Linked DNA regions of Mus musculus. The protein of the gene in region 5 interacts with the protein of the main gene of each other region in a biochemical or structural test. Links are inferred from orthologs where the notes say so. Each region holds a gene or a part of one and is shown on either strand. Other genes may lie near its edges.

Region 1 (4,039 bases), on a different chromosome or scaffold from region 5:
GCTCAGGACTCATTTAAGTAATCTATGCAAAATACTACAGATTCCTTACTGTCTCAATTCAGAAAAAAAAAAGCCTTAAAATATCATATTAAGTATAAAAAGAAGAAGAAGAAAACTATGGCTTACAATTGCACTGATTATTTTTATTCCTGGCTGGGTCAGAGAGCAGGAAAGAACTGCTCTCTGCAGAGACAGTGGCTGCCCATACTTCCTGGTTTTTCATCCTGGTTTAGATGTGGCTTGAGTAAGCTTCCTGCTTTACACAACCTCCCTCTCCTAGCAATTGGAACCACGTCCCACTAGAGATGGCCTCTTGGCCAGGTGGGTACAGCACACAGCCATCTTCTCCTGGCTCCCTATTATAGAGGCAGGCCTTCCAGCTACCCTGGAATTCACACTATTTATTGTACTGCCGCACCCAAGCTGCCTCTTCCTTCTACTAGCTGAATATGTGTCTTATTTTACATTCTATAAGAAAGGAAACCAAGTCCGTCCGTCTCTTCTCTTCCTCTCTTCCCTTCTGGTTTGTGGATTAAACCTAGGGCCTCATACATGTTAAGCCAGTGTTATGCCATTAAACTATAAAATCCCAGCCCTTTTTTACTTTTCAAGACAGCATCTTACTAACTTGCCCAGATTGGCTTTGAATTCTACCTGTAGTCCAGGCAGACCCTGAAGTTGGAATTTACCCGCCTCAAACTCCCAAGAAGCTAGGGTTACAGGCCTGTGCCATCAGTTCAGGGTTGAAGTTTTTGAAAAACTAAGGCAACTTCCTGGTATCTTCAGAATGAACAAGCCGATCTGGCACCATCTTTGTCATTTCGACAGATGAAAGGGAATATCACATATCAGACTGTTAGTGGAGGTCCTAAACTCATCTCTGGCGGGAAAAGCACCACAGGTCTTCTACTAAAATCACATCCAAATCTATGCACAATCGCAGTGGAGAATAAGCATGACAAGCTACTATCAAAACATCACCTCTGCGTTTCCATAGTAAAGAAAGAATGTTAAACAAGTTCCCTGCTCCTACCAATCACAATTGTCATGGACAACCTTAACAAGATGACTCTCCAATCCTGAGAGCTACTTCAGACCTGAGTCAGGCCACTCTTCTCCCTGAACCTGAGATCTGGCATACTCCTAGATACTGATGAACAAAATAAACAAATTAATAATAATAATAATAATAAAAAGGCACAGTGAGTGCCTGAAGAAGATTTATTCTCTTGCAGAGGAGAAGAGCAACACTGGATTCCTAGCAACCATACAGAGGTTAACGACTGTCTCTAACTACATTTCCAGGGGATCCAATGTCCTCTTCTGGTCTCAGCAGGCAGTACACATAGATACTGTCCAGTGATGGAGGCAGGCAAAACACCAGTTTTTTAAAAAAGTAAATCTTAAAAAAAAAAAAATCATAAAAGAGAAAACACGATTCCATCACACAAGCTGACTACAGAGCCTGTGTGAGGAAGCTACAAACTCAGACTGACCTCAAGACACAGAACTATGGAACTGTCTATCAAACAAGGTTCTTTTTGTTTGTTTGTTTTTCGAGACAGGGTTTCTCTGTATTGCCCTGGCTGTCCTGGAACTCTCTCTGTAGACCAGGCTGGACTTGAACTCAGAAATCCGCCTGCCTCTGCCTCCCCAGTGCTGGGATTAAAGGCGGGTGCCACCACGCCCGGCTCAAGCAAGGTTCTTAAAGGTTACAGCTACGGGCTCTGTTTCCTGTACCTTATACGAGGTCACTACAGAAAAAACTCAATAGGTGAGGCACTTAGGCTATAAAAGAAAACAAGACTGTAGGGCCCCAGTCTATCCTCTACCTCATCAAGCAAGGGAAGACTCTACAGGCCCCAGAACTCAGCAGCACAAACACTGCCATCTCAAGACAGTCCTCGGGATGCAACAACAACGCTGGATATGATACAATGAATAACAGCTTATGACCCCAGAGTGACTGTGCTCACCTTCTGACCTGACTCCACCTTTGAATCTTTCTGTATATGCCCCAGATACAGCTTTGACCCTAAGCAGAGGTGGTCCTTCCAGACCCAAGCCTCCTTTACTGGATAACCACCTGCTAGCATGACCCTTGTACTACTAACTCTACCCACCAGGAAGTAAGTGTGCAACCCGAAGCAGTCTATCCTCTGCAATCACCACCAAAGGCCTTAACCCACAAGCCCCTGTGGTCTCTCTTCCTGGCAAGACCCTTCTCCGACCTGATTCACACCCCAGCAGTGGCCCTTCATAGCGATGGCCTGATTTACATCCCAGCAGTGTCTTTTCCCGCAGACCCTGCCCGGAGAGATGACTCCCTGCGGCCCTGATCTGACCCACACCTCAGTCGTGACTCTCTAGGTCTCAGACTTGATTCACACCCTGGACACGATCCTCCTTGCTGCCCCTGCTTAAAGCGGTGACCGTCACGCGCCCTGACTCGAACCACACCCCAGCAGCGACCCTCCTGGGCTGCTCCTGCCTCCCGCGGCCTGGCGACGCCTTACGCCTCACCCTCGGCCAGGACCCGCCGCACCCGCAGACGCAGCTCGCCCAGCTCCACTGTCTGCCCCACGAAGTCACTCTGATCACGGCCCGCAGCTCCGCCAAGAGAACCAGGGCCCGCCAGGAAGTCCAGCGCAGACTGCAGCAGCGACATGGCGTCGGCCGCTCCGCGGCAGCGGGAGCCAGGCTCCAGCTCCGCACTGCCGGGTTAGCAGCTGCGGGCGAACAACCCGGCCATCTTCCGCCCGCGCCGTGACGTAAATCAGAGAGCGAGTTGCGTCCCGACGCTGCGGCCCCGCCCTGACGCAGCAGGCGGAAGGGCGCGTGTTTCTGCAGAGCCAGCAGCAGCAGCAGGCGCAGGCGCAGAGGGTGCGATCCTACGGACCTCAAGCTCCTAGGAGGCACGGAGGTAGGGCTGTCGCCATCTGACCCTAACCTCATCTGGTTGCTTCCGCTGGCCCAGGTCCAGCCTAGGTGGCTAGAGCGTCGCGGGACGTTGGGCGCGCGCTGCGGACCGCCCCAGAGCCCGCCGCTCGCGCCTGACGCCTCAAGGTAAAGCGAGGCCTGGAGCCCACCCTAAGTGTCCCTAATGCCCGGTTTAGGAGAGGAGGGTATCTTGCAGACAAGCAGCCAGCCTATGAGCCACAGACACTTATGTTTTGGTCCACACAGGTTTGGGGGAGGATGAACTAGTTGCTAGAATTAAGACCGAAAAACGTAGTTTTAAAAGGGGGCGGGAGAAAGCTTCACAACGTGTATACAAAAGTCACCTGGCAGCACTGGACGCAGAATCCCGTGTGATGTCAAACACTTAGAGCTGTCCATCTCAGGTGAGGCAAAGTCATGGGATTCCCCACTCGTCTCTGTACCTCCGAGGTTTCTGAAGCCATATGAAGTTGCAGAGCCTTGGGTAGAGTTTGTGCTTTTGGACTGAAAAATGGATCCTTAAGCCCAAATCAACATCTTAACTGTCCCAGGATTGTATGCTATTAAATACGCCTTGGGGGGGGGGGGGGCGCTACCTGCTCTTTAAAAAGTCAAGTAGAAAAGAAATGAAAGATTATCATTAGTATACAGTGAGGTACGTGGTAGGTGAGACAGTAGTTTCCTAGAAATGGTGAAGTGGAAGCTTTGGATAACACCTGGAGGAATAAAGAACTGATGAAGTAGAGATGGTACCTGTAGGTAACTGAGGAGATTTGTGAAGAAGAGTGTGGGAGCTGAAAGGGCAGTGTGGTGTTAACATGATCTTAGATGGGAGACTTGAGCAGCCTAAAGCCAATGGGAAAGAGTGAAGTCTTTCCAGTATAGTGGAGAGGAGTACTGTCTCAGAATAGTAGGACAGTCAAGTCACATCCAGATAGAGGATATGTAGTGTTGGTATAGAAATGGCACCTTTCTATAAGAGAATCACTTATAAGATGCAGGGAGGAGGAAGTAGCTACGGCTTGCAGTTGCAGGTAACTTTATGTTATTACTGGAATGAAGTTGAAGGGATTTTTTATTTTTTGGTGGCTTCAGATCT
Region 2 (4,046 bases), on a different chromosome or scaffold from region 5:
TGAAGCCCACAGGCAGTAGCTGGGTGTCTCTGAGCACGTTCATCCTCATGCTTTAGAAATCCAATGCCACTTCAGTCTGGCACTTGGAAAACCCCTGCAGGATGGGGTCGTGCCCCTGTCCTTCCTGCCATCCTGAGCAGGTGATGTGTGTGTGTGGCTGTAGCTGCACAGAGTCACAGTCTCTCTGACATGCTGGGAAGTTTGCCAGACTTTTCACCACACTGTTCCAGGCCTGGCTTTGATGAGGGATCAGGGCCCCTTTTGCTACACTGCTTCTGAGAGACACTTACATTTCAGTCCCCAGAGCTCTGAGCTAGGACTAGAAGGCCACAGAAACAGGTAGATCCCACTGTCTTGGACCTGGATTATACCTAAGAGCAGGAATATCAGAGAGATAGGCAGCCACGTTTGATGTAGACCATGGCAAGGCAGACCATCATTAGATGAAGCCAGCAGTCCCTCTGTGTCACCTGCTAGCTTCCCTCCAGACTAAAGTCCCGAGACAGAGTTTATTAAAGCTGTCATCTGCCCTTTTCTACAGGGATCCTGCTGGGTTATAGAACTAGATCAGGACACCAAGCCAAGCTCAAGTCCAAGGAGCCCCTCCCGCCCTGCCTGCCCCTGAACACACGCAGGACACTGGTGCTCAGTGGGGAAAGGAGACCTCAGGACCTTAAGGACTTTGGGGCACAGCTAAGACTAAAGTGTGAGTCTGTTGCCCTTGAGGGCTTCATTTAGGGTCCCCAGGCTTCACACAGGTCTCCTACTCCTGTTTGCCTTCTCTTAGGGATTTTTTTTTCTTTCTATACCCTACCACGGAGCTATTCACCCCATCTTCTGCACTTAGAGATTTGTTCCTGCCATAGCATCCCCCACCAGGCTGGGAGCTCCTGGATCGGTTTTCACCAGGAGTGAGTGGGACCAGGCACAGGGCTCAGGGAGGCTTGGTCTCTATTTACATTGGCAGCCCTGCTCCCTACATTCCCCACCCATGCTAGGCCACCCTATCAAACTATCTCCTCTCCTCTTCACAGCCCATGTGGTCATGGGTGCCTACTTCAGGGAGCACTCCCACCTTCCTTCATTTCTACGGACCTCTGCCTGCTGCTCCTTGCATCTCTGCAATGTACCTGTCTTCCTTTCAGACCGCTTACCCCAGGATTCTAGCAATGGGGAGGGGAAAGAATTTGTACAGCTTACATTCCAGCCAATGCAACCTCCCGGAGCCTCAGATACCTTTCTTGGCTGAATGTGGGAGGTCTCCTGGGCCCAGGGAAGTCTCATTCCTCATCCATCTTGCCCAGCTAGAGCCCTGTTTACTTCTTCCACACATTCACTCCCTTAACAAACATATCCTGAACACTGGCGAGAAGCGTTATCCAGGGTTGGGGCAGTGGAGCAAGAAACAGCCAAAGGGCCAGTCATCCTTCAGTGTCTACACAGATTCAATCACATCTCGCTCAGCTTCGCTGTCTGACCGTACAGGGTGCTACAGGGTGCGAGCTGAGAGCGAGGCTCCAATATCAAAACTTGCATTAATTAGTTCCCTTCCTGCCGGCTCCTGAGGAATTGGGAGGTTACACGTTCCCCACTTATGTAAAAAAGGGTTCATACTCTTGTGGGAATAAAAGATGAAACATTCAAAGTCAATTTCTACGGCATACAGACATACAGGTTTCTCTCTCCGAGGTCTTTCTGCACGTCTCCGTCAAGCATCAGGGGCTCTGTGATGACCCAGTCACCTTGGGTTTCCAGGGACAGCGGCTCCTGAGCGGATGCCGGGCTCATCCCCCGCCTAATCCCCAGTGCTTCCTTCCTGGCCCCTCCACACAGCTCCTCTGCTTCCAGAGACTCTTCAGCACCGCAGAGCCAAGCTCTCAACACAAACTTGAACCTTCCGTTCCCTGTTCCCAAGGCTCTCCTTGCAGCCTCTGCTTTATGATTCAAATCTTCTATCCTTTCTAATCCAGAGATCCCCTCAAATCCCTGGACGCCCTGGCCCTTCACCTCGACGTGGATCGGTCTGGAACTAGGGACTCAAGATTCGGCTTAGGTTTCAACTTGAATCTAGGATCATTTGCAAGGTTCCTACAGTGGGGTGCGGGGTGGAGTGTCCCAAGTCCTCAGTCCTAGCCCAGGAGAAGGTAGACGCCCGTCCGGAGCGCCCTCTGGGGGACCTCGGGTTACCGATCTTCAGTGCAGACGCAAGGCGTCGGGAAGTGCGCACCCAAGTGCGGGGTCGGGTGTGGATCAATGGGGAAATGATTCACGCTGGAGGATCGGGACCCAGAGGCAGTGAGCCCTGGACTTCCTGGGGACTGAGTAAGAACCCGAAGGATCCAGGGTAAGGATGCATTTCACTACGGACCGGACCGTAGACTTAAGACTGGGACCTGGTCATAGCTCCGCCACCCTGTTCGTGACCCGGCTGCAGTCCTCACCCATTCTTTCCTGCTCCCCGCGGTCCCGGTCCCTAGCCCCCGGCTCCCATGACTTCCCTGGTTCCAGCGGGCGTCCTCATACCTAGGTTCCCAAACTGCCCCGTCCCTCCGCCCGCCCCGTCGGTGCGGTCTCACCACAGGCCCCTGGTGCGCAGCGGGCTCCGGGTGGTTAAGCGGGAGCGGAGGTTGGGCTGTGGCCCGGGCGCTCACCTTGGAGGAGTCCGAGGCAGAGCCACAGGCGCAGGTTCAGCGCAGCGCCCGGCTGCATCTCCGGCCCCTGGGCGCGGGTGGGACCTGCGCGGCCGCAGCTCTAGGCTGGGAGTGAGAGCGCGCGCCGAGGCGCCGGCGGGGCGCGGACCGGTCAGCGGCCCGGGGGCGGAGCCGAGGCGGCCCGGGGCGGAGCTCCGGGGGAGGAGGGTCACCGTAGCCTCAGCCCGCCCCTCGCCCCTCTCTGTCCCTTCCAGCTTGCCCCAGGAGAATCCAGCCTGGGTAGGGAGAGCGCCCACTTTGCGTACGTTAAAGGCTCCCAGTTCCAAAGCAGCCATCAACAAGCACAAACTCCAGGGCCACTGCGGGTGGGCGAGGAGTGCAGGTGACTGCACTGTCCCCCGTGCGCGTTGTGGCGCCGGAGAATGAACAAAACCGCATAGTATCGTTTTCTGCATTTCCCTTCCATCCATAAGCAGAGCGGCAACGAATATAACGTTAAAACGGCTGTACATTAAATCTTAGCAAGCGCCCTGCAGAAGCCAGATCTCTCTATAGTGTGAAAGACAGGCTTTCGCTTTAGCTTCCCCACCAAATACTTTTGCTCTGAGCTCATTCTAAGTCTTTTTTATCAGGTGACACTTCACTTTCTGTTTTGGCAAACGCTCTCGCACAGACTTCCTTTTTCTTTGTGGTTCCTTTGCTAGAATTTTCCTATTTCAAAATATATCCCAAATGACAATGACGATTTCAACCTTTTTCTGCTCTTATGTACTGCGTTCCCACTGTTCCCACGATCCCCACCTACCAGCCCGGACTCATCCTTGCCAAAAGTCAAGGCCAGACTGTTGTTGATGATGACCTTTTAAATAGTCGCCAACTCTCTCAACCACAGAACAGGAATGAAACTCCTAGGTATGCGTGTCTTTAACATCTGTAGACAGCGCTAACTAGTTTTTCATTTTAGCTTGTACTGAAATCACATTATGGTGTTGTTAATTGGCTTTTCCCTAACTGCCACTGAGGCTAAGAATATTTATTTACTTATTTATTTATCTATTTATTTATATTTATCTTTAATTCACTTTGCATCCCTATAACAGTCCCCCTCCCCTCTTCCCAGTCCCATCTTCCAAATCCCTCCTCCCATTGTCTTCTCCCCTTCTTCTCAGAGAAGGGGGATTCCACCCCGCCCCCCATCTTGGCTACCACCCACCCTGGAACATCTAGTTCCAGCAGGACTAGGCACATTCTCTTCCACTGAGGCCCAACCAGGCAGTCCAGGTAGGGTGAAGGGGAATCCAACGGCAGGAAACAGAGACTTGAGACAGACCCTGTTCTACTTGTTAGGGGACCCACATGAAGACCAAGCCGCACATTTGCTACAGATGTGTAGGG
Region 3 (3,935 bases), on a different chromosome or scaffold from region 5:
TCCTCAGAGCTGCAGCTCCACCCAAGCCAGACGGACTGGGCAGCTCCGCCTTGGACTTAGTGCAGGTCGGCTGCAAAGCTGTATCTTCCAACCAGACATGCGAGTTAGTGTGGGAAACACTCAAAATGGTTAAGGTGCAGATGCATGCAGGCCACATGCAAGCAAGGCACTAGGGCACAGAGGAGGCCAGTGGGGATGCCAAGTGTGAGGAGAGTGTAGAGACTCCAGAGAAAACGTGAGCAGAGCTGGACCCCAGGAACAGCCTTGCCCGCCGGCAGCCCCCATCCCACCTCTCTCTCATGCTTTTATTTCTTTTTTTTTTTCTTTTTAAAATATCTGTTCTAAAGATGTTGGGATGTCCCTGGAAGGCTATCAAGACAACCTCCTCACACCTGACTCCTTCCTTCATCAGCAAGCAGGCCATGCTTCCCAGCTCCATACAGAGCACCTGGGCAGTCCCTAGCAAAGGCTTGCAGAAGCAGTTCTGATGGTACCGTTGTGAGGGTCACCTACCGTAACAGTTACACTGGGTGCGCCACAAGGTGTTCTCAAGACTTTTTTCTGTGTGAGACTCGTTACTCCGTTCTTCCCACACGATGGAAACCTGCACCCGGGCACAAGAACCAGATTATGAGCAGAAAGCCAAGGTTCTCCTGTTTCTCAGCTCTTGGGAAATGGCACACTGCATGTGGTGGCTATTGCGTCGGCAGCTTGGAGCAGCAGTCTTGAGTCCCCTGGCTCTCTGTAGATGAGCACAAGGCGCGCATGGTGTGCTCAGCAGGAGGGTGATACCAGGTGTAGGCTGTCTGCATGGCTGGCCTTTTAAACCTGCCATCGCATCACATGTATTGTGACCTTGTGCTGAAAGCCTACCTGTCATCTCCAATCAGGTGACCCAAAAAAAAGCTGCCAAGGCACCAGTCTCAACAAGGGTTACAGTCCCCAAGCTCCTCTGGGGAAGCGTTCAGTGACAGGTTAACCTAAAACATGCAGCTCAGGAGCAAAGTCACTGGGACACCAGCTTGTAAAAGGAAGGCTCACACCCTTGCTGAAGCATACGAAGACCCCACTTCCCAACGTGGTCCACTCACTGCCCACACCAGAGCCTTGCTTGTACATATGCAGCCCAATACGACAAGTGCAAAACAGCCAATACTGTGCTCCAGACCAGCAGTCCAGCCAGAGTCCCGGCTGGGGGAGAACGGTCTGCAATGGTTAAAGCTAACCTAGCCCACTGCCTCCTCACAGTTCCCAGATAGCCTTCTGCCGACCTCACCAGCTCTTCAGGGGGAAGACTGAAACCTAAAGCAACAGCACCATGGTCTGCACTCTGCTCGGCTCACAAACAACTACTGAGCGAGCCGGACGGCCACTCGGAAGAAGACTGTTCAAAGTAGAACCTCAAGTTTTCCCCCCTTCTACTTACTTATAATATCTCTGCTCACTTTAACACTAGTTTAGAGGTGCCATGGTGGGAAACGCTTTTAAGCCACCACATGGGACGTGGAGAAAGGAGAATCGGGAATTCAAGCACAACCTTGACTACCTAGTGAGTCTGAAGCCAAGCTGAACTCAAAGCATTAAGAGTGATCTTGTTTGCTACTAGTAAGCTGTAGGCGGGGGAGGGGAGTCTTTACTCCTCCCCTTTCAAAGTCACTTTCAAGTGTTTTGGGTCCAGACTTTCAGTACCTGGGAAACTAAAAAAAAGTTTCCATTGAGCCTGGCCTGGGGAGCCCTGACCACCTTTCCCTGCCCTACTGCAAAGGCGCCCCCCACATTGGCTGTACCTGGGGGAGCCGCCTGAGGATGAGGCAGACATGGTTAAGCATCAAAGCCGCAAAGATGGGCAATTGGGTCGGCAGGCTCTGCTCAGGGGGACCCAGAGGGGCTGGCCAATGAGAATCTCAGGGGCCGGGCATCAAACGTCCTCTCTCTGAGGGGAGGAGGGTGGAAGCTTTGGGGGTGGCAGTTGGATGAAAACTTGGGAGGCGCTCCTCTACTGTCCAAGTCGCACAGCAACTGTCCTGCCAAAGTGGGGAGGGAGGGAGACAGGAGAGGCTGAGCGACCTGCGGGGTGCCGAGTGCGCCGCCAGGAGGCAGGTGGAGGGCGCGGCAGGACAGTGAGGGGCCACGTCACTGAAAGGAGGACAACGACCAGCATGCCCAGACCCCACCCGGGAAGAATAGCGGGCCGACGGCTACTAGGGTTTAAACCTGAGGGCTGCCTGGAGTGCGAAGAAGGTGAGAACTGCTAGGCCCCAAGTGGGCCCCCCAGGGGCGGGAACCCGCACAGGGAGCTGGAGGGATCTTCGGGACAGTGCCTGGGCAACTGTCTCCTAGGTGAAGGGGCGTTCCCGGCAGAATAGCTACCAGGGAGAACCAATAGATGGAAGGGGTGGAGCGGCGGCCTAGGCGGGGCGGCATGGAGAGCCAGACCGCTCCTGGATCACCCACATCCCTGGAGCTGGTCTGGAGGGTCCCCGGAGGCCTGCCCACCCCGAGCGCATGTAACTGCTGCGGCCCAGTCCGCAGAGAGCAGGGGTGGCCTCCGGGGAGGATGGGGCGCACGGCCACCCACCAGCGGGCAAGAGGGGACGGGGTTCTGCCCATAGAAGGGCGCAGCCCTGCCCGAGGACAGCAGAGGAGGGAAAGAGCGCTGCCGATGGCCCGGAGAGGACGGAGGCGGCCGGCCCGCCCGTTAGCGGGAGGAGGAAGGGCCCGCGCCCAACGAGGAGCGGGGCGGGCCGGGTTCGGACGCAGGAAGGAGCGCGCCTAGACTCGGGGACGGTGCCCGGTCGAGCCAGCCCCGGGAGCGCGGGGCTTGAACCCGCGGCACTCTACGCCCTGCCCCGCCGCGTGGCCTCTCACCAAGAGCGGCACGGCTGCGCCCAGAACCGTCTCCTTATGAAGTCGTTGAAGTCGGAGGCCAGGGTCGTGCCATGGAGACGCCGCGGCGGATGCAGTCCGGCTCCCGCGGCGGCTCCTCCCCGCTTCCGCCTCCTTTTCCGACAACCGGTCGGCAGCTCGCCCATTGGCCAGTTCAAACCCCCCCCGGAGCCTCTCGGGTTTCGCCATTTAGGCCCAGCCCCCAGCGTCACAGAGATGCCCCGCCCCACACGGGGACGCTCCGCCCACTTCTGGGTCACGAGGCCTGTCCACCGCCCCGTCGTCAGGGAGACACGCGACGCCTCCCGCGCCAGCCGGCCTGGTCTTGCCCCACCGTTCAGGCCACCGAGTCCCCTCCGCCATTTTGCCCTGGTCCTCCTGAATCCTGAACCCTAACGCGCTCCCCTCGAAACACAGGAGGAAGCTGGACGCAGAGGGCGTCTGTACAAGCGACAGGCTGGGGCTTCTGGAAAGCCATTCCTATGCCTCGGCCGCTCAGTGCAGACAACTTGTGCACACTCCACAAACTGTACCCCTCTCCCACACGCCCCAAACCGAAGGAAGAGGCCGCACTCCCCACGCCCCTGCCGCCCTCCCGCACACCGTACGCCGCTTCTATACGGACCTGCTCTGCTGAGGTTCTCTCTGCTGAGCCGCCATCTTCTCAACTATGCTTCCCTGTTAGCCAATCGTGGGGGACTGTCACGAGGCTCACGTTCCCGCCCTGGATTCTGGGAGACTTTAACAACCTCCGGGCTGGGTAGACCTCATTTCCTTGACACCTTAACTCCAACACAGTAGTTGTGCTCCCACCAGCTCCTCCCTGGAGCGTGAACTACCTTCCCACCTCCACAGCCGGCAGGGCAGTCTTACCATGTCATATTTGTTCGTCAACCCTTGACGGTTCATTTTGTGCGTGCAACCCTGGCTGGCCTGGAACTTGCTGCGTTTGAGCAGAAATCTGCCTATCTCTGCTGCTTGCTGGGGTTATAGGAGTACACCAGCAAGCCGAGCCTTTCTTCTTCTTCTTCTTCTTCTTCTCCTTCTCC
Region 4 (3,500 bases), on a different chromosome or scaffold from region 5:
TTAAAGGCGTGTGCCACCACACCCGGCGGAAGGCTTATTTATTTTATGGGTGTTTTGCCTGCATGTATATCTATACCACACGCCTGCCTGGGACTTGAGGAGGCCTGAAGAGGACACTGGATCCCCTGGAACTCGGCTTAGAGAGGGTTGCAAGGTACTGTAGATTCTGGGAATCAAATCCAAGTTCTCTGGAAGAGCAACTGGTACTTGTAACCACTGAACCATTTCCCTGGCTCCAAGCTGGCTTTCTTATACAGCCCAGGACCACCTGCCTGGGGCAGATGCAGCTCATAATGGACTCTATCAATTACCAAACCCATCTTGCCCCAGTGTGCCTATAGGTCACGCTCATCTGGGTAATCCCTCAGCTGAGACGTATTTCTTAGGTGCCTCTAGGCTGTGTTAAGATGACAGTTAAAGCTAACTAAGACACACAGTACCTGGCCCATAACAGTAGATGTTTGACATCCCCGAGCAACAGATTTTCCCAGGTAACACAAGTGTAATACTGACAGAACGAAATAGACTGAAATACTGCCACTAAAGAGAAGTACCTCTGGGGTTAGAGAGGTGGCTCAGTGGTTAAGAGCACTGATCGCTCTTCCAGAGGTCCTAAGTTCAATTCCCAGCAACCACATAGTGGCTCACAGCCATCTGTAATGGGGTCTGGTGCTCTCTTCTGGCCTGCAGGCATACATGCAGGCAGAACGCTGTATATATAAATAAATAAAACGTTAAAAGTAAATAAAAAGGCTAGTACCTCTATATGAATGTTTACTTACCATTGTGTCAATCTCCTCCAAGATCTTCATGAATTGCTCAATTGTTGCTTTTACTTTCCTATCAAGTTTGCAGAGAGCCTCCGCTTGCAATTCCTTAGCCAGAAAACCCTGAGAAGGAATAAGGCACTATTGCAAGTGTTTGAGACTCATGGAAAACCATGCCAATAGACTGGTGAAGCAACCCAGAGTTCACCACTGATCTAAGAAGCCCGGCTAGATCTCAGACCTTCATCCCCTGGGAAAATTAGAAATGCTTGCCTTGGCCAGACTAAGAATACTACCAGGGTGTGGACTGTTCTTTCTCTCACAGTCCACTGAGGCATGAATGCCCCCTGAGGAACTATGGTGCAGCCTTCAACACAGGTGCATACATGCACATAAGAAGCAGACATTAAGAGAACAGACTGAAAAGCTGGGCACAGTGCATCAAGGGTTGGCGTGAGGTGTCTTTGCCAAACACTGTGTGGTGGTTTGAATAAAAATGGCCCCCATATATTTGTATGCTTGGTCACTAGGGAGTAGTGCTACTTGACAAGGATTAGGAGGTGTGGCCTTGTGGGAGGAAATGTGTCACTGGGGGTGGGCTTTGGGGTTTTAAAAGCCCAAGCCAGGCCCAGTGTCTCTCTCTAAGTGTTGCCTGTGGATTGAAATGAAGAATTCTCAGCTACCTCTCCAGCACAAAGTCTGCCTGCATGCCACCATGCTTCCTGCCATGATGATAATGGACTAATTAAACCTCTGAACTTTAAGCCAGCCACAAATAAACGCTTTCTTCTTTTAAGAGTTGCTGTGGTCACGGCGCCTCTTCACTGACTAAGACTCTGCCTTATTTTTTGAGACAGGGTCTTTTACTGAATCTGGAGCTTGCCCAATTTGGCTAGACTGTTTGGGCAGTGAGCAGCTGGGATCCAGCCCTCTTCTCTTTGCCTCCCCCACACTGGGATTATACAGTGTGCCATCATGCCCAGTTTCTGCATGGATGCTGGGAATCTGAACCCAGGTCCTGATGCTGTGTGGCAAGCACTTTATCAGCTAAGCTACATTCCCAACTTTGGCTTAAGATCTTAAAGCAAGTTCCTTAAACTTGCCACGTCTCACTGATCTCAGATTATGGGATGCTGACCGGCAGATGTGTAGATGCTCACATAACTCATGGCACAGATAGATACACAAGATAACAGAGGATGGCGGTATTATTGTGGCTTTGGTTTTGAGACAGGATCTCTAACTCACTGCATAGTCAATGCTGCCCTTAAACTGATCCCGTCTCTTGCTCTGAGAAAAGCTGTGATTACGGTGTACAAGCCCACACCTGGTTGAGGTAGCACTTACTGTCATTAAACCACCCTGCTGTTCATTTGCATTTCTTTGCCTAGTGATCAGTTAGCGGGTGGCTGAGTTGAAAAGCAGGAATTTCTGAAGATGGCTATCAAACCAGAGTGACAAAGGCATATTTGTAAACACACAGCAAGAAGTTCGAACATTACTCAGAAATCCAAACTCAGTTCTATCAAAGACAATCACAACTACTCAAAAAGGACTCCTGTCTAAGGGCACTCAAAGCAGCAGCACAGTAAGAGAAAAAAATCAGGTAAAACAGAGAACAGAGACTAAGGTAGGTAAACCATGATATATTCACATGCAGGAAAATATGACCATTTTCAACAACACAGGAAAATGTTAATTTTTAGCCAGTAAAAGAACAATTTACCAAATGTATAGCATATTATATTTTAACTAAATAAGGTGAAAAATACTTTTCAGAGTAATAGCATCTCTGGGTCAGACATACAGACCTGCACACAAGAAGCACAGTAAGAGCCGGGCGTGGTGGTGCACGCCTTTAATCCCAGCACTTGGGAGGCAGAGGCAGGCGGATTTCTGAGTTCAAGGCCAGCCTGGTCTACAGAGTGAGTTCCAGGACAGCCAGGGCTACACAGAGAAACCCTGTCTTGAAAAACCAAAAAAACAAAAAAACAAAAACCAAACAAACAAAAACCAAAAAAACGAACAAACAAACAAAACAACAACAACAACAAAAGCAGCACAGTGAGAGCAGAGCTGAGCTTAGGACGTGAAAGGCCTCGGCTTGAATCTATCTATACGCACATATAAAACTTTTGTGTAAGCATCACAAACTAATTTTATAATTACAACACAAAACAGGACTGGAGAGATGGCTCGGAGATTAAGAAGGTGTACTGTTCTACTAGCCGACCTGCGTTCTGCTCCCAGCATCTAGAGGCTCACCACCTCACATCACCCCAGCTCTGGGGGGTGTGGGGGGTGTCTTCCTGGCCACCAGCACTCACATCCACCTACTCCAACACAGACCCAGGCAGACTCACACATAATTAATATATAATTTAAAAATGAAATAAATTATTTTTTAAAAAGCCAACCAGGCAACAATACCATACCACTCTATCCACAGAATAGAGAAGTCACCTGCTGGATGCCAGAAAGCTCTTTATTCAATTCTTGCAGGTGGTTAGCTATCTTCTCTGCAGATACCTCCAAATCTTTCAGCTTCTTTAACTCAACCTCTTCTTCTGGATTGCTCTAACATAAAGAATAAAACGAGGTCAGTAATTGCTCACCTAAAACAACTGAGCCAACCTCTTGTGCTTCTTGGAAAGCAAGTCAAAGGGTTAGACAACAGGATTCCTATCCATAAAGCCCAGCCCAGGGAGAAGGAAGGCCAAGCGAGCATCCTAG
Region 5 (3,500 bases):
CAGGAAACACAGCCACGAGTCCGTCAGCCAGGCCTGCCAGCACCAGGAAGGAGTTCTGTGGGGGGAAGGGACAGGGACACACAATATTCTTTCATGTCACACATGCGAAGAGAGAAACCACAGACACCAGACTCATCTCTCTATGTGCCTCAAGTGGTCACATGATCTTCCATAGTGCCTCAGAGAAGTAAAGCCTTTGAAATCTTGGCCTGCTCAGGGGTCTCAGGACTCTGTCCAGAGATGATGTAGCCTTGCCCCAGCAAAGCCACACCCACCACTGGTGCTGCAAGGCAAGAGGTAAGCCAGGGAGAACAGTGCCCATAGTGCTGAGGGCATCAAGCAAGGGTGCCACCACCTGGCATTGGTCCCTTGCTGGAGGAGCAGCGGGGAGCTGCCTTTCCTGGATGCCATGAAGGCCTCATGAAAGGCAGGGCAGAATGCTCTCCCTGTTGTAGATAGCTTATTAACATGACAGCTGTTATAGGCATGAGTTCTGTTTATTGCTCACACGGTGGAGAACTCCAGAAAAGCAGGGGGCAGGTCTCTGTGCCCACCACTGTCACCTGGGCACTGCACTGGCACAGGAAAGGGTTAAGTCTGAGACACCTCTGTGGCCCGGGATCCCACTGTTTCCATCAAGTGGACAATCTATGACCCTGGAAGAACGAGCTTCTAGCTTAACTCTCCTGCTGGCATGTCTTGGTCCCATGTGCCCACATCCACACTCTGAAGAGCCTGGGCTGACACTACTGAGGAGTTTGACTTACCACGAAGCACCGTTTCCTCTGTAGCCACCGCCAGAGGTTACTAGGCAGAAGCCAAAGCTGCAGGTACAAAGCCAAATACAGGCTTCCAGGGGTGTCTCACAGAGCAGAGCAGAGCAGAGCAGAGCAGAGCAGAGCAGAGCAGAGCAGAGCAGAGCAGAGCAGAGCAGAGCAGAGCAGAGCAGATACAGAGTGAGTGGGTCAGGAAAAGGGCCACAGAACCAAGTCAGAGTTCATGACAGGACCCCAGCCTTGTTCTATCTAGCCAGGGGGAATGGCAGAAAGCCACTTTGTTAGCAGTCAGGGTGCCTGTGTGGAGCGGGGTGGGCAGCTGTTCAGGGTAGTAGAGTGAGTGGCCTCTCACACAACATCCACAGTAAGGAGCCCTAGGAAAATTTCTCAAAATCCATCTTCAGGATCTAGGTCAATAAAGCAGCCAGAGCAAACAGGCCATAAGTCTTTCTGGATCCTGGCCCTGCTGGCCGGCGTGGGGAACACCACGTTCGGTGGGTTGTGAGCGTGCTTGTGCAAGAATGCACGCACGGTCTGCCCTGTGTGGCCTCCGCAGGTCAACCTCCACGGGGGCAGGCACCCTGCGCAGGAGGCTCACACAGAGTCCGCTTTATTTCCCCTGCTCCGGCAAGACGTGAGCCCTGGCTGGGGCTCTGGCTGTCAGGGCCCTTCAATAATGCTTTGTGTCCGTTTCTCCCAGCCTCTGGTGTAGAGATCCCAGCTGCCTAGGGTGCTCCTGGGGCTACAGTCATAAATGACTGTAAGGTTCATTTCATACCCATTTTCTGTCCCTTTTATAAAGAAATGAAGCTAGATCAGGGTGCAGAGAAAAGCTCACAGGTTTGGCGACATACAAAGTCATAGCAACCTTTAGCTCCAAGTACCCAGCCTGGAACTCTGGGCTCCATAGGTCCAGAGACCTATTTCATTACTCAATCATCCTCATGTTAGGCGGACAAATGGGGACCACATAAGGGCAGGCCGCACATTATAAAAAGCTGTGCTAGGAAGTGATGCTTATGCACTGGTGGAAGGCACGCGTTTTACCCACAGGCCCCTTGTGACCTGATTGGATCCAGGGAAGGAAGCAGAGCTTGGGAGAGCAAGCAGTGCCACCCAACTTCTCAGAGGAGTTCCTGACAGTTCACCAGAAGAGAAGGTGAAGCTCCCGTGTCTACTGTTTGGAGGAGAAGGCCCAGGGCCAGTCAAGAGGTGGCCTTGCCAGCCCTAGTGAGGCTAGATTCCATGCCAAGGTGCGGTGGAGCTGGGGCTGGGGAGCACACTGAGTGAATGGGGTTAGGAGGGCGAGGAAGTGGGTCTGCTCTGCAATGCTGGGCAGTGCTGGGCAGTGCTGGGCAATGCTGGGCAATGCTGGGCAGTGCTGGGCAATGCTGGGCAATGCTGGGCAATGCTGGGCAATGCTGGGCAATGCTGGGCAATGAAGGACTGAGGCCTGGGAAGGAAAGCAAGTCTTTGAGAGAAGGCAGAGGCAGATGAAAGGGAATCAGCTACGCCCACTAATCAGAAAAATCAGTGGCCAGGGCAGAGGAGAGGCTCCTGATGCCTTTATCAAGAGAAGGAGCCACGTGTTTGCTTCATCATCCGCACCAGCGTGAGCCTCATCTAAGCCAGGGGCACTGGCATTTGCTCATGGACGGTAGGCACAGGTTAACGGTGGTTGCCTGTGTCTCTAAAGCTGGCTATGACCTGGGCAAGGTGGCCCAGAAAGGTGTGACTCCACTGTTCTCAGCAAGGAGATCCTCCCACACTTGGTGACAGACCTGAATATGTCCTCTCCCCACCTTACCTTTTTGATAACAGGTACTGCCAAGAAACAGGTGACGACAGCTGGGGTGTCCAGGGCCTGCTGGGGCACGCTTAATGGGCACATACCCTTAAGGCTGTAGATATAGATTTTCTGGTCCTGCAAAAAGCAGACAAGCTCACTGTAAGAGCTAGAGAAGGAAGTGACCGGTATGTCCTATGAGGATGCTTTCAGCCTGGGGAACCCCTTTGGTACCTTTCTAAAGGCAGCATTTTGCTTGCTAATTCATTTCTGCTTTTTGTTTGAAAACTACAGTCTGGAAGAAAGTTAGCTCATAGAGGGTCCTGAGGAGTGGGGGATGGAGCGTCTCAGAAGCTCCCTTCGGCTATGCATGAGTATACCACTAGCAAAGTGGAGTCACGATACAGTGACAGTGTGCCATGGGCAGAGTCCTGTATTTACCCCCTCAAGGATGTATATGGGGTCACCTCCTCTGTTCATCACCTTTAAACATATTTGGTGAATTTATTGTTGCTATAAAGAATTGTATCGGAATAGGTACTCTTAGAGATCTCTCTGTGTATTCTCCTAAAACAGATCGATGAGGCTTTAGTGCCATGGGTATCTATGGGTTTTGGGAGATCTATATACTTCTAAACAGTCATGTCGAAGCATTATGATGTTCCTTCCCCTACTCATAAACCTGGAGCATTTGATTTAGAGCGGTGTTTGGATTTCTCATAGGACAGCCACTTGGATCTTTCCATGACTTCTGCATACAGAGGCAGAAGGTCCTCGGAGATGAGCTATGCTCCATGGCCCTCACACTATTATGAGGAAATCCAGCATGCCATCAACACACCCAGTTTCTCCCGCTGAGCATCTCTACCTATTCTTACTACCCTGAATCCTAGCTTCCAGCTGGTGGCCAGCAGGAGCCAGCAGTGATTCCCCCGGTG

What was found. The genes of interacting proteins can lie anywhere in the genome.
Region 1: the proteins of Lrrk1 (region 5) and Gak form a complex in vitro, tested with the Homo sapiens proteins (2 studies listed by BioGRID and IntAct, with this or other methods). The link is inferred for Mus musculus from reciprocal best matches to the Homo sapiens genes LRRK1 and GAK.
Region 2: the proteins of Lrrk1 (region 5) and Flt4 form a complex in vitro, tested with the Homo sapiens proteins (2 studies listed by BioGRID and IntAct, with this or other methods). The link is inferred for Mus musculus from reciprocal best matches to the Homo sapiens genes LRRK1 and FLT4.
Region 3: the proteins of Lrrk1 (region 5) and Odf2 form a complex in vitro, tested with the Homo sapiens proteins (2 studies listed by BioGRID and IntAct, with this or other methods). The link is inferred for Mus musculus from reciprocal best matches to the Homo sapiens genes LRRK1 and ODF2.
Region 4: the proteins of Lrrk1 (region 5) and Bag1 form a complex in vitro, tested with the Homo sapiens proteins (2 studies listed by BioGRID and IntAct, with this or other methods). The link is inferred for Mus musculus from reciprocal best matches to the Homo sapiens genes LRRK1 and BAG1.

Annotation. Positions count from the first base shown.
Region 1 is NC_000071.6:108,626,978-108,631,016, forward strand, and holds the start of Gak (cyclin-G-associated kinase), read right to left. Parts: upstream 2,801-4,039; 5' UTR 2,669-2,800; coding exon 2,524-2,668; intron 1-2,523. UniProt on the Homo sapiens protein: Associates with cyclin G and CDK5. Seems to act as an auxilin homolog that is involved in the uncoating of clathrin-coated vesicles by Hsc70 in non-neuronal cells. Expression oscillates slightly during the cell cycle, peaking at G1.
Region 2 is NC_000077.6:49,608,433-49,612,478, reverse strand, and holds the start of Flt4 (vascular endothelial growth factor receptor 3 precursor), read right to left. Parts: upstream 2,801-4,046; 5' UTR 2,710-2,800; coding exon 2,652-2,709; intron 1-2,651. UniProt on the Homo sapiens protein: Tyrosine-protein kinase that acts as a cell-surface receptor for VEGFC and VEGFD, and plays an essential role in adult lymphangiogenesis and in the development of the vascular network and the cardiovascular system during embryonic development.
Region 3 is NC_000068.7:29,888,855-29,892,789, reverse strand, and holds the start of Odf2 (outer dense fiber protein 2), read right to left. Parts: upstream 2,801-3,935; 5' UTR 2,611-2,800; coding exon of another isoform or gene 2,579-2,610; intron 2,534-2,578; exon of another isoform or gene 2,215-2,533; intron 2,025-2,214; 5' UTR 1,820-2,024; coding exon 1,788-1,819; intron 605-1,787; coding exon 514-604; intron 1-513. UniProt on the Homo sapiens protein: Seems to be a major component of sperm tail outer dense fibers (ODF).
Region 4 is NC_000070.6:40,938,295-40,941,794, forward strand, and holds part of Bag1 (BAG family molecular chaperone regulator 1), read right to left. Parts: intron 3,345-3,500; coding exon 3,231-3,344; intron 891-3,230; coding exon 783-890; intron 1-782. UniProt on the Homo sapiens protein: Co-chaperone for HSP70 and HSC70 chaperone proteins. Acts as a nucleotide-exchange factor (NEF) promoting the release of ADP from the HSP70 and HSC70 proteins thereby triggering client/substrate protein release.
Region 5 is NC_000073.6:66,262,842-66,266,341, forward strand, and holds part of Lrrk1 (leucine-rich repeat serine/threonine-protein kinase 1), read right to left. Parts: intron 2,701-3,500; coding exon 2,584-2,700; intron 56-2,583; coding exon 1-55.